3 linked regions of the Saccharomyces cerevisiae S288C genome follow. The main gene of each other region encodes a partner of the protein of the gene in region 3 in a complex. Each region holds a gene or a part of one and is shown on either strand. Other genes may lie near its edges.

Region 1 (2,793 bases), on a different chromosome or scaffold from region 3:
ATCGAAATATTCTCGGAAGCTGTCATTGCACTCATTAACCATTTTCCATTGTTCGCATTATTACTTAGGTTAAAAGATCCTAAACGTCTACCCGGTGGCATTTCAATTGAGCTCAAAACCACGGTTTCTAACAAGCATACAACCTTAGAACTTCAAAACAATCCTATTAAATTCAAGAGTATGTTCAGACCATACAATCTATTGTTGTCGCAAATGAGGACAAATTATTTCTCGTTTGCTACTGTACGAAAGATTGTCCGAGGGGAGTCTATAATGGTCAATAGAAATAAGCTGTACTATGTTCTTTATTCTTCACTGCCTAGTAAGCCATTGAGTGTAAAGGATTTATACAAAAGGCTGACTATTCAGGCATAACGTTTTCTTTTATAAGTAAAGTAGCGTTTTCTTGCTTCAGCTATTTGTTGTTTTATTTTTGATTTTGTATGTACATGAAATGAGTTTCTACATAATGAATATTTTTTTTAGTAAGGGTGCTCCAATCATTTTTTTTTCTTCCCCTTCCCCTTTGCAGTTGCAGCTGCATCCTTCTTCATCTTCTTAGGAGCACCTTTACCACGACGTTTCTTTGCTTCTACCATAGATAATCGATATTGCTCCTCAAGGTCTACAAATTCAATATCAGGATATAATGTTTTCAAATGTCTGAACTTCAGGATATCCGGATTGCCGTAGTAGCTTGCCACAGAAGGGCCCTTTAATCGCTCATTTAGAATCTTAGAACCGGTTCTTATACCTGATGGGTTGAAATTTTGATCAAATATCTTCGCAGATAACTCTGCTACTTTTAGGAGTCTCGCCTTTGGTACGTTCATTGAAAGTCTTATGATAAACTAATCCACGCAATCACTACGTACCACTTCGTCGAGCGGGTCAAAACAAGTACCTATTCTCCATGGCTATGTGCTCTAAAATGGTTTAGAAGTTCGCTTATTATATTTCTAACTGTTTTAGATCACTATATACGCTACGTGTTGATAAGACTTCATTTGCACATTTTTACTACAATAGCTAACTACTCTCAATTGATTAAACTTCTCAGCAAATAAAGTACATGGCTAAATGTGTGACAAGATGACACAATGAATGTATTTCTTTTTTCTTGATTTTTATTTAGCCGCTAAATTGATAAAGAAATCTGTTATTCTAATAAAACATTATACTATAATTATTAATATACTATTTGTAAATATCACCTTACTTACCACTCGACGTTGTCAGCATTTTCTTCAGCCCATTCAGTAGCTTCAGCTTGCTCTTCGGTAACCTCTTCCTTGGCTTCTTCTTCACCAGCTTCTTCGGTGGTAGCTTCTTCAGCAACTTGTTGTTCAACTTCTTCAGGGTCTCTGTAGAAGTACAAATCTGGCATGATGGACCATGGTTGAGTTCTGTCAACTAAAGCACCTCTTAGTCTCAAAACTTCTCTAGCCAATAAGTACCAGATTAAACCAATGGAGTGCTTACCTCTGTTGTTACATGGGATAGCGACATCGACGAATTCTGATGGAGAGTCAAGATCAGTTAGAGCAATGACAGGGATGTTAACGTAAGAAGCTTCCTTGATGGCTTGAGCATCTGATCTTGGGTCGGTGACAATAACTAATCTTGGTTCCTTGAAAGAACGGGTGATATAATTGGTGAAAGAACCTGGAGTGAATCTACCGGCGATTGGGGTAGCACCGGTGTGGGCAGCGAACTTCAAAACAGCCCTTTGACCGAAAGTTCTGGAAGAGATGGCAACAACGTCTTCTGGGTTTGGAATGGCAGCGATGATTCTGGCAGCCAAAACCAATTTTTCCCAGGTCTTACCAACGTTGATAACGTGGACACCATCTGGTCTTGCGTTGAAAACATATGGTTCTTGGTGAACCTGAAACAAAATTAAAGAAGAAAAAGTTAGTATAAAAGATTCAAAAACGTACACTTGGTATATGCTGTGAATGATCAACTGATTCAAATTAATGTACTATGAAAAAATGGCATTTATAGTTGGCTAACAGCGTCGGAAGAATAGGTACCGGAATTAATTGATTTCATTGAAAGAGGTTTAATACCAAAGGTTTGTTTTTTTTTTTCATTAGCGATTTAAAATTTAATAACATAATACAATTAGAAAGTCTATTGGCAAAATATTCGCTGATAATTAGCTGGAGTTTCAAACTGTTTTAATGATTGTTCATATATTTCTCTTCTTATTCAGCCTGAAAAATGCTATCCCAGCATTCCGTTTGGTTGGCGGGAAACCTGGTTGTGGCTATTCTTTCACTCGAACTGTTTTCAATCACACATTACTCTATTATATAATCGGGAATGAGTATAACATACTTGAACGTTTCTAGCACCTAAGTGAGTGTTAGCAGCCAACAAAAGTTGGGCATCTTCTGGAGTCAAGTCAAAAGTAGCTGGTAAGGACATTTCGCTCTCTATTTAGTTTGCTATTTTCTAAGCTATACCTCACTCTACAAGGGCAGTTTACGAAGTAAACTAACAATGCTACATTTCGATATATTATAAGCATCCTTGCTACGGGATCTGGCAAGTGTCCTGCCCTGCTACTATCTGCCCGGCAGCAGGCCACTGTACTACTCACAATTGGGAACACGACGGGATTCTGGTATCCATGGTAGGGTGCGCAGGATTGTAACGATGGCCCTGCACATTTACAATCGTTGGCTGAGATGAGCCTGTTCCAGCCTACGAAGTAAATTCCTCCATCCCTCCAGGCAGGATCTGTCCCAATTCCTTCCTGCCTGGAGAATCTCTGGGCCTGCGTTT
Region 2 (2,557 bases), on a different chromosome or scaffold from region 3:
TTTTTATTTTCTGCTTTGGAGTTGTTTGAATTGACAGAATTAATACTCACCGCCAAATTTTGAAGGTTTTTCAATACGCTGGATTGTGAGCGAGATTCACAGATAAGTTGTAGTAACTTGCTTAATCTGATAGACGATTCATTTGATTTAACGAAAATCAAAATCTTTGCAGCAATGGGGGAATGTGCCATAAATTGGCATATTGAATACAACAATATCAATGGCTTGTAAACACTTTTCGCCGTGGGAATGTTGATGTTAAATTCATTCAATTTGTTAGGTAGCTGGTACAATTTATCGGTTTGCTTCAGGAACAACTTTGGTTTGTAAAGGTTCAAGCCGTTTAACTTTTCTGTGTTGGTAGTCAATGTCGCACTGAAGATCATTTTGATCACGTTCCCTGGAAGTGTATCTAATTTATCCGTTTTCAAATGGGACATTAGTTTTGGACACCAGCCCTGGAAGGACTGGTTCAAAAGACGATCAGCCTCATCGATAATCAAAAACTTTAGGTTTTTCAAATTTATCGATTTCATATTTAGATGATCTACTAATCTACCAGGTGTAGTGATTAAGATATCTGGTTCCAAATTTGATAATTTTTTGTGTTCGTCCTTCAAAGAATTTTCTAATTTGGCAATGCTCACAATAAGCGACGTCCCTTGAGTTAGCTTTGTCAACGTAGTATAAACTTGGTTTATCAATAGTTTTGTGGGGACGATGATTATACAACGCAGTCTGTTAATTTGTCTCTTGAAGAGGGTTTGAACAATAGGAATGGAGTAAGCCAAAGTTTTACCTGAACCGGTAGCAGCATTTACAAGAATATCACCGATTCTTCTGGTGAAGTTTCTCTTAGATACGTTCAACGTGAAGTTCAATACCGGTAATATGGAGTCTAGGATGATCGATTGGATGGGAAAAGTGTTTGTAGAGAAATTCTTGCAAATATTCTGCAGTAGTTTTGCTTCTAATTCATTTGCGTAATCCGAGAACGGTTTGATCAAGGAATTATCATAATATATCTTCTCAGTATTTAACCAACCCGTAGATTTGAACTGTAATGAATTTGTATTCAAATTCATTGGGTTTTTGACGAATTCAGGTTGAGGAATCTGTTTTAGTTGGTGAGTTGAGGCCGCCTCGTCTTCAATACCTTCGTCTTCCTTACTCTCAGCAATATCAGATGCACCTAGCCTTTCTTGCAATGATACTGTTTGCTTGAATCTCGATAGCACTGTGCTGTGAGTACTTGGCTTACTCTCTTCCTCTTCCACTTCACTCGAATCCTCTTCACTAGCCCCATAATCTACTTGCATACGGTCTTCGTCTTCCTCTGAACTAGAGTTGGAACTCTCATCAGAATCTTGGTGAGAGCCATATTCTTCATTATCAGATTCAGTAGCCTGCCTCTTTAAAGGCACAATGGCCGGGGGAGTAGTTCCGACGATTCCTTCTGGTGCGCTAGCTGCAGGAGCAGTCAATTGGCTAGGGTCAAATCTCGATGCAAACATTGTCACTACCGGTCACCAATGGTAAAGGTGTCCAGTTTCGAGCACATCTCATCGCCAGTTATGCTTTCTATATAATACAAATCTGCAATAATTTTTCAAATTTTAAGCATCACCCGGCATTAGCGTTTGGATCACTATTCACGGTTATGGCTGAGCAAGAAATGGCAATTGGAAGCGCCTAGTAAGAATCTAACCATGACTTAAAACGGTGAGGTTCATTGCAAGAGCAGTACAGCATCGGCAGAAGTAGTGTCCACCAAAAATAAAATGCAACCGGCAGCTAGACTTTTATCGCGGTCCGTATGGAAGGGCCCCAACATCGTGCCATTACCCATAAGGGAGGCCATGACTAAGGGCACTCCAATAAGAACAAACGCAAGGGCCGCCACCATCCTTCCTCAGTTCGTGGGACTGAAATTTCAAATACACAATGGTAAGGAGTACGTACCTATTGAAATATCAGAAGATATGGTGGGCCACAAACTGGGCGAGTTCGCACCTACCAGGAAGCGTTTCAGCTATACTCAAACCAAGAACAAATGAGGGATCTAGTGTATATAGATTTCTAGATGATATATCATGTAAATAAGATCAAGCCAGACTCGGGCTGTATATATATATATATATAGCATAATAAACAGTAATAGTGCTTTTAAAAGCATTTCAGTCTTACCCGAGCGACAAAACGATTTGGGGAGAAAAAACGCATATAACCAGGGAAAAGACGGAGAACTTACAGGTACACCAGAATTGAAGCAGGCCAACAAGAGCCATGTTGTCGAGGTTTATGTCCAACACATGGTGTACGCCCTTGAGACAGGCGCAGAGATTGTTTTCCTCCACTACGACAATGCAAGCGACATTGAATCAGATTAAAAGAGGCTCCGGGCCTCCAAGACGCAAGAAGATAAGTACAGCTCCACAACTGGATCAGTGTCCCCAGCGGAAGGGTGTCGTATTACGTGTAATGGTTTTAAAGCCCAAGAAGCCGAATTCTGCGCAGAGAAAGGCGTGCAGGGTCCGTTTGACTAACGGGAACGTGG
Region 3 (8,164 bases):
AAAATCATTTGAAGGACAAGGATGATTCTTTTTTGATGAGAAGAAGTGCCGTACACTTGATACATGATTTGTTGTACAGTACAGGATTTGATTTACTTCCCTTTGAGTACAACTACGATAAGCTAAAAACACTATTATCTTACGTTCGTGATCAAGATGAAGATTACATGGTTTGTGAACAGATTGACAAGCTTTTAACCGTACTAGATAGTTTATAACCCATTACGCATTTGATTATAATTTGCTTCTTAGGCAAAATTAATATTTACGTTCTTTTATATTCTTTCTTTTTGTATTCATAGAACAGCAGCCATTACCAATAGAAAGTTAAAATAGCCGCCGATGCATTTTATTACCCGCCTTTCTGTTTTCTGGGCACTTTTCTTTCTAGAAGGTGAAAGAACAATTTTTCTCGTTTTCTCGAACTTCCACCAAGCGTTGGGTAATGAGGGAGGAGATTTGTATAAAAAGAGTGGCATGTGAACTGCCTACCGTAAGTGACATGAACACATGCATTATATTTTTTGTGATATATTCTTTCTCTTGTTTTCTTTTTCTTGAAACGCTACAGAACCAATAGAAAAATAGAATCATTCTGAAATATGGCTGGTGAAACTTTTGAATTTCAAGCTGAAATCACTCAGTTGATGAGTTTGATCATCAACACTGTCTATTCTAACAAGGAAATTTTCTTGAGAGAACTGATCTCTAACGCCTCCGATGCTTTAGACAAAATTAGATACCAAGCTTTGTCTGATCCAAAGCAATTGGAAACCGAACCAGATTTGTTCATTAGAATCACCCCAAAACCAGAAGAAAAAGTTTTGGAAATCAGAGATTCTGGTATTGGTATGACCAAGGCTGAATTGATTAACAATTTGGGTACCATTGCTAAGTCTGGTACTAAAGCTTTCATGGAAGCTCTATCTGCTGGTGCCGATGTATCCATGATTGGTCAATTCGGTGTTGGTTTTTACTCTTTATTCTTAGTCGCCGACAGAGTTCAAGTTATTTCCAAGAACAATGAGGACGAACAATATATTTGGGAATCTAATGCCGGTGGTTCTTTCACCGTTACTTTGGACGAAGTTAACGAAAGAATTGGTAGAGGTACCGTCTTGAGATTATTCTTGAAAGATGACCAATTGGAGTACTTGGAAGAAAAGAGAATTAAAGAAGTCATCAAGAGACATTCTGAATTCGTTGCTTACCCTATCCAACTTCTAGTCACCAAGGAAGTCGAAAAGGAAGTTCCAATTCCAGAAGAAGAAAAGAAAGACGAGGAAAAGAAGGATGAAGATGACAAGAAACCAAAATTGGAAGAAGTCGATGAAGAAGAAGAAGAAAAGAAGCCAAAAACCAAAAAAGTTAAAGAAGAGGTTCAAGAATTAGAAGAGTTGAACAAGACTAAGCCATTATGGACTAGAAACCCATCTGATATCACTCAAGAGGAATACAATGCTTTCTATAAGTCTATTTCTAACGACTGGGAAGACCCATTGTACGTTAAGCATTTCTCTGTTGAAGGTCAATTGGAATTTAGAGCTATCTTGTTCATTCCAAAGAGAGCACCATTCGACTTATTTGAGAGTAAGAAGAAGAAGAACAATATCAAGTTGTACGTTCGTCGTGTCTTCATCACTGATGAAGCTGAAGACTTGATTCCAGAGTGGTTATCTTTCGTCAAGGGTGTTGTTGACTCTGAAGATTTACCATTGAATTTGTCCAGAGAAATGTTACAACAAAATAAGATTATGAAGGTTATTAGAAAGAATATTGTCAAGAAATTGATTGAAGCCTTCAACGAAATCGCTGAAGACTCCGAGCAATTTGACAAATTTTACTCTGCCTTCGCTAAGAACATTAAGCTGGGTGTACATGAGGACACTCAAAACAGAGCTGCTTTAGCTAAGTTGCTACGTTACAATTCTACTAAATCTGTCGATGAATTGACTTCCTTGACTGATTACGTTACTAGAATGCCAGAACACCAAAAGAACATCTATTACATCACCGGTGAATCTCTAAAGGCAGTCGAAAAGTCTCCATTCTTGGACGCCTTGAAGGCTAAGAACTTTGAAGTTTTGTTCTTGACCGACCCAATTGATGAATACGCTTTCACTCAATTGAAGGAATTCGAGGGTAAAACTTTGGTTGACATTACTAAAGATTTCGAATTGGAAGAAACAGACGAAGAAAAAGCTGAAAGAGAGAAGGAGATCAAAGAATACGAACCATTGACCAAGGCCTTGAAGGATATCTTGGGTGACCAAGTGGAGAAGGTTGTTGTTTCTTACAAATTGCTAGATGCTCCAGCTGCCATCAGAACTGGTCAATTCGGCTGGTCTGCTAACATGGAAAGAATCATGAAGGCTCAAGCCTTGAGAGACTCTTCCATGTCCTCCTACATGTCTTCCAAGAAGACTTTCGAAATTTCTCCAAAATCTCCAATTATTAAGGAATTGAAAAAGAGAGTTGATGAGGGTGGTGCACAAGATAAGACCGTCAAAGATTTGACTAACTTATTATTCGAGACCGCTTTGTTGACTTCTGGTTTCAGTTTGGAAGAACCAACTTCTTTTGCATCAAGAATAAATAGATTGATTTCTTTAGGTTTGAACATTGATGAGGATGAAGAAACAGAAACCGCTCCAGAAGCTTCTACCGAAGCTCCAGTTGAAGAGGTTCCAGCTGACACCGAGATGGAAGAAGTTGATTAATCTCTTTTTTCGCCTTCATGTTTTATATATTATATAAATTTGTTTACTTATTTTTACTATTTGTAATAATGATTCTGCTTTACGCGCCTTTAAAAAAGTTGGTCTTAATGTAAACATGAACCATAGCACACAATTTAAGACATCAGCTGTCAAATGACCATAAAATTGTCCTACCAGCTGTCCTTAAAGTTTAGTGTACACTTACGAATGACTTATTTACTCACCTTTGCAACTTTGTTCAATAAATTCATTGATCTTTTCAAGTTCCTGACATCTTTTGTAACTGGCATAGAGCTTCAGACTTGACCAGCCTATAGCAGCAGTACCACAACCTATAATATTGAAAATCATTCTAAATTCCGAAGGGGAGCAATTCGGCGTCCATTCAATTTTAAACTTTCTCTGTATCCATAGAAAAGCATTCAATAGAAGACCTCCTGTACATTTACCAACAAAGGGCCATAGTATCTTTTCTGCAAGAATAGCATACCAATTCCGCCTGATAAAAAATTCCTCAGCTGGAACGCTATTACTAGAGTTTTCAAAATTTCCGTGATACAAATACTTACCTCCTTTATTGATCAGCCTCCTGTAAATTAAGTCAACCAATCTTTTAAAGGTAAAATTATAGCAAAATGTAGCCAAGTTAGAATACAAAATTATTTTAGGTAAACCTATACCCTTGTAATATTTGTTTCCAGCAGTTTTTACAATACTGAGATACACCCACTTAAAGAGTATTGCATTAGCACTGACGTTAGAAATGTTGCTAAGATAATGTATGAACCCATATATTATGATCGAGGAGGTTAAAGGAATGCTTAATAAGCCACGTTCAGTTTGCGCATATACGTCCAATGCCTTTGTAGTGCTGATGTTTAACATATTTCGTAGAACATTCTCAGGGAAAAGGCAGCGTAGTTGCCATAATCCAATGTCAAAACTTGTCTTTTCAGGGTTTAAAAGAAATAAACTAGTTATCCCTAATGGTATCACGTATCGTGTAATTTTTTGCCACTGATAAAACAGGGATAGTACAGAAGACTGGATGGTTACTGTAGGTCTTTTTATGAAATTTGTTTTCTTGCATTGAGGACATTCGCCAAATTTCACTAACACATAAGGTGGATGATTATCCCGTTTGGTATAAAGAGACATTAGATTGAACACGTAGTCATTTTGAAACGGTACTGATTTTTGCCCCCAAATGGGACGAGTTTCCCATATTTCTGTAAGAGAGAAAGTCGTCATAAAATCATGGTGCCCATCAACGAGACATTTTAAACAGGTGATTATAGGTAAATCAGCATCCTTTGGTAGGTCCACTGTGTTCGGAAGAAAAAGTTCAACATGCATTTGATAGAGCCATCTTATATAGCAGCGTTTATGAATTTGTAAGTTGCAACCGCACGTGTGCTGTAGCCATGTAGAGTCATATGTGGATTCTTCCAAACATATCCAGCATATGCATCTTTTTTTTATGAGAGATAAAAAAAAATGAGGTGGGGTCATATAAAACTTGGACTATTTCCTTGGAATTTTCTTGTTTGTAAAATCAGAGCAGAGCTCTTTTATTTACTTTTGTTTTTGACGATGGGGACGAGCGATGTACTCACATCTTCGATATCACTTGCCTGAAAATATATAAATGCGTTAAACGATAGAAAATCAAAAACATCGTTCTTTTCACTAGAATATTTTAAAGTCAAAACATAACACTTTACTATTTACGTAACGAAGTCTTGTAGTTGTATATATTTACAGAGTGTAGTGCTTTAGTTGAGAAAATATGACACTCGGCTTTCCTCTTTCTTTTATTTACTGGCTTGGTTGTTGCATATCCATCATGACGTGCTTTCTTAACAAATTTTTTTTGATGTTTTTTTTCAAGGTCAAAGGATCCTCAACACCATGATCCTTCAAAAATTGATCACATTTTAGATCATTCGACAACAATTCGGATAATCGCGTTTGAATACGATCAATGAGACTTCTTTGTTTCTCCAAATTAACCTCCAATCCAGAGATGTCTAACTGTAAAAGTTGCCTCACTGTTTCTTGTGAAAAATCTTGAATGCCGTACCTTTGTTTAATCTCCAATAACTCTTTCGGCGTTGACCCGCTAGATAAAGCATCTTGGATGGTCCTAATATCACGTAAAAGGGTTGTTTTTTCATTTAGTTTATTCTCCCTCACTGATCTTTTATCCAAAAATTCTTTTGCCTTTTGGGCTTCTTCTTTTGCAACGCTTAACTGAGCTTCTGATTCGTATAATGCAAATTGTTGACCCTTGTTTCTAATAATTTCTGCAATGGCAAAAAACTTCCTCTTTGAAAGCGGCCTCGTCGCTTCTATCCTTACTAAATCACCCTCCCTTGATATTTCACCTTCATCATGCACTAAATAATCTCTTCTATGAAATAACTCCTTGTTGATTTTCTTATTAAAGACTTTTGTTTCTACACGTACTTTAACCGTCTTTTGCATCTTCCCTTGGGAGACGACCAAGCCTAAAAAATTTTGGCGAGCCATTACAGTTTAACTGATCTTGATTTGACTTTTGAAATCTCTAACCCGAATTCAACTCCCTGAGTTTACTTCTGTTTGGCCTTATTTGTGGATTTCCTCTAACAGTTTGATGCTCGCATTGGTTTGGCACAATCCCAAATTGCTTCAGAATTCTAATCTTATGAAATAACAATCATGTTACCCGGTTGAATCGTTACCCGACATCTCTGACTCTTCTTGAGGTATAGACTCCTCCTTTTCGGAGTCATGACTCTCAGAGGAGTCATCGAAGTCAGCATTGAGCTGTGAAGGACCTTGATAAGCTAGTCGAAAGATCTCCAACGAATATAAATGGATGTATATATAGCAGGCTCGAGTGGCACAATTTTCTTCTCTTCAAGTTCCAGTGAATTAGTCTTTCTCGTGTGTACCAATCTTACTGTATTGATTGCTGCGCGATCTAACCATCAACTAACCACAGTTTATTGGAAAAACGTTTCCTAATACCAGGAAGATAACATGCTTAGGACAAGAGTGACTGCTCTCCTTTGTAGGGCTACTGTCAGGTCAAGCACCAATTATGTTTCATTAGCGAGGACTAGATCATTCCATTCTCAATCTATTTTGCTCAAAACAGCCGCTACAGACATAACGTCTACACAGTACAGCAGGATTTTCAATCCTGACTTGAAAAACATTGATAGACCGCTAGATACTTTTGCTAGACGTCATTTAGGTCCTTCTCCTAGCGACGTTAAGAAAATGTTAAAAACAATGGGTTATAGCGATTTAAACGCATTTATAGAAGAGCTCGTTCCTCCCAATATTTTGAAGAGAAGACCCTTGAAACTAGAAGCTCCTAGTAAGGGATTCTGTGAACAAGAAATGCTTCAACATCTAGAAAAGATTGCCAATAAGAACCACTATAAAGTTAAAAATTTCATAGGTAAGGGTTACTACGGTACGATTTTACCACCGGTTATACAAAGAAACCTGCTAGAAAGTCCAGAATGGTATACTTCTTATACGCCCTATCAACCCGAAATTTCTCAAGGTAGGCTAGAAGCGCTATTAAACTTTCAAACGGTTGTTTCAGATTTGACTGGTTTGCCTGTGGCGAACGCCTCATTGTTGGATGAGGGTACAGCGGCTGGAGAAGCTATGCTCTTGTCATTCAATATTTCCAGAAAAAAGAAACTAAAATACGTAATAGATAAAAAATTACACCAGCAAACAAAGAGTGTCCTTCACACCAGAGCCAAGCCGTTCAATATTGAAATTATTGAAGTTGACTGTTCGGATATCAAGAAAGCTGTGGATGTTTTAAAGAACCCCGACGTATCTGGTTGTTTGGTTCAATATCCAGCGACAGATGGTTCAATCTTACCGCCTGACTCGATGAAACAGTTATCTGATGCGTTACACTCTCACAAGTCTTTGCTCTCTGTGGCCTCAGATTTAATGGCTTTGACACTTCTAAAACCACCTGCTCATTACGGTGCTGATATCGTCCTGGGTTCCTCTCAACGATTTGGTGTCCCAATGGGTTATGGTGGTCCTCATGCTGCTTTTTTCGCTGTTATTGATAAATTAAACAGAAAAATTCCAGGTAGAATTGTCGGTATCTCTAAAGACCGCTTAGGCAAGACGGCCTTGCGGTTGGCCCTCCAAACAAGAGAACAACATATCAAGCGTGATAAGGCAACTTCAAATATATGTACCGCTCAAGCTTTACTGGCTAATGTTGCTTCGAGCTACTGTGTTTATCACGGTCCTAAGGGCCTACAGAATATTTCCAGGAGGATATTTAGCTTAACATCAATATTGGCAAATGCCATCGAAAATGACAGTTGCCCTCACGAACTAATTAATAAAACATGGTTTGATACTTTGACTATAAAGTTAGGTAATGGCATATCCTCCGAGCAGTTATTGGACAAGGCCTTGAAAGAATTTAATATCAATTTGTTTGCCGTGGACACCACCACTATTTCCTTGGCTCTTGATGAAACAACTACAAAAGCTGATGTTGAAAATCTACTAAAAGTGTTTGACATTGAAAATTCTTCGCAGTTTCTTTCTGAGGACTATTCTAACAGTTTCCCAAGGGAATTTCAGCGTACTGATGAAATATTGAGGAACGAAGTCTTTCACATGCACCATAGCGAAACAGCAATGTTGAGATATTTACATAGGTTGCAATCTCGTGATTTATCTCTTGCTAATTCTATGATTCCTTTAGGTTCCTGTACTATGAAATTGAACAGTACTGTTGAAATGATGCCAATCACTTGGCCCCAATTTTCGAATATCCATCCGTTCCAGCCATCAAACCAAGTCCAAGGATACAAGGAACTAATTACTTCGTTGGAGAAAGATTTATGCAGCATTACAGGTTTCGATGGTATTTCTTTACAACCAAATTCAGGTGCTCAAGGTGAATATACTGGTCTGAGAGTAATCAGATCCTACCTGGAAAGCAAAGGTGAAAATCATCGTAACGTGTGTTTAATCCCTGTATCCGCTCATGGTACAAATCCGGCTTCTGCCGCTATGGCGGGTTTAAAAGTTGTTCCTGTCAACTGTTTGCAGGATGGCTCATTAGATCTGGTTGACTTAAAGAATAAGGCTGAACAACATTCTAAAGAACTAGCCGCCGTAATGATCACCTATCCTTCCACTTACGGTTTATTTGAACCAGGCATCCAACATGCTATTGATATCGTACATTCTTTTGGTGGACAAGTCTATTTGGATGGTGCTAATATGAATGCGCAGGTTGGGCTAACTTCACCCGGAGATCTTGGTGCAGATGTTTGCCACTTGAATTTACATAAGACATTTTCCATTCCTCATGGTGGTGGTGGTCCAGCTGGAGCTCCCATTTGCGTCAAATCTCATTTAATACCCCATTTACCTAAACATGACGTTGTTGA

The links. Proteins that work in one complex are often made in the same cells at the same time.
Region 1: MRPS17 (region 3) and RSM27 share a complex: the UniProt entries of both Saccharomyces cerevisiae proteins name them as parts of the mitochondrial small ribosomal subunit.
Region 2: MRPS17 (region 3) and RSM19 share a complex: the UniProt entries of both Saccharomyces cerevisiae proteins name them as parts of the mitochondrial small ribosomal subunit.

The regions. Positions count from the first base shown.
Region 1 is NC_001139.9:920,215-923,007, reverse strand, and holds RSM27 (mitochondrial 37S ribosomal protein mS33 RSM27), read right to left. Parts: upstream 834-2,793; coding exon 501-833; downstream 1-500. Other genes in the region: GPI1 (phosphatidylinositol N-acetylglucosaminyltransferase), read left to right, coding at 1-375; 40S ribosomal protein uS2 RPS0A, read right to left, coding at 1,220-1,888, 2,344-2,433. UniProt on the Saccharomyces cerevisiae protein: Component of the mitochondrial ribosome (mitoribosome), a dedicated translation machinery responsible for the synthesis of mitochondrial genome-encoded proteins, including at least some of the essential transmembrane subunits of the mitochondrial respiratory chain.
Region 2 is NC_001146.8:694,552-697,108, reverse strand, and holds RSM19 (mitochondrial 37S ribosomal protein uS19m RSM19), read left to right. Parts: upstream 1-1,781; coding exon 1,782-2,057; downstream 2,058-2,557. Other genes in the region: putative ATP-dependent RNA helicase DBP6, read right to left, coding at 1-1,514; mitochondrial 37S ribosomal protein uS12m MRPS12, read left to right, coding at 2,287-2,557. UniProt on the Saccharomyces cerevisiae protein: Component of the mitochondrial ribosome (mitoribosome), a dedicated translation machinery responsible for the synthesis of mitochondrial genome-encoded proteins, including at least some of the essential transmembrane subunits of the mitochondrial respiratory chain.
Region 3 is NC_001145.3:631,753-639,916, forward strand, and holds MRPS17 (mitochondrial 37S ribosomal protein uS17m MRPS17), read right to left. Parts: upstream 5,253-8,164; coding exon 4,539-5,252; downstream 1-4,538. Other genes in the region: RTP1 (Rtp1p), read left to right, coding at 1-218; Hsp90 family chaperone HSC82, read left to right, coding at 603-2,720; YMR187C (uncharacterized protein), read right to left, coding at 2,937-4,232; GCV2 (glycine decarboxylase subunit P), read left to right, coding at 5,748-8,164. UniProt on the Saccharomyces cerevisiae protein: Component of the mitochondrial ribosome (mitoribosome), a dedicated translation machinery responsible for the synthesis of mitochondrial genome-encoded proteins, including at least some of the essential transmembrane subunits of the mitochondrial respiratory chain.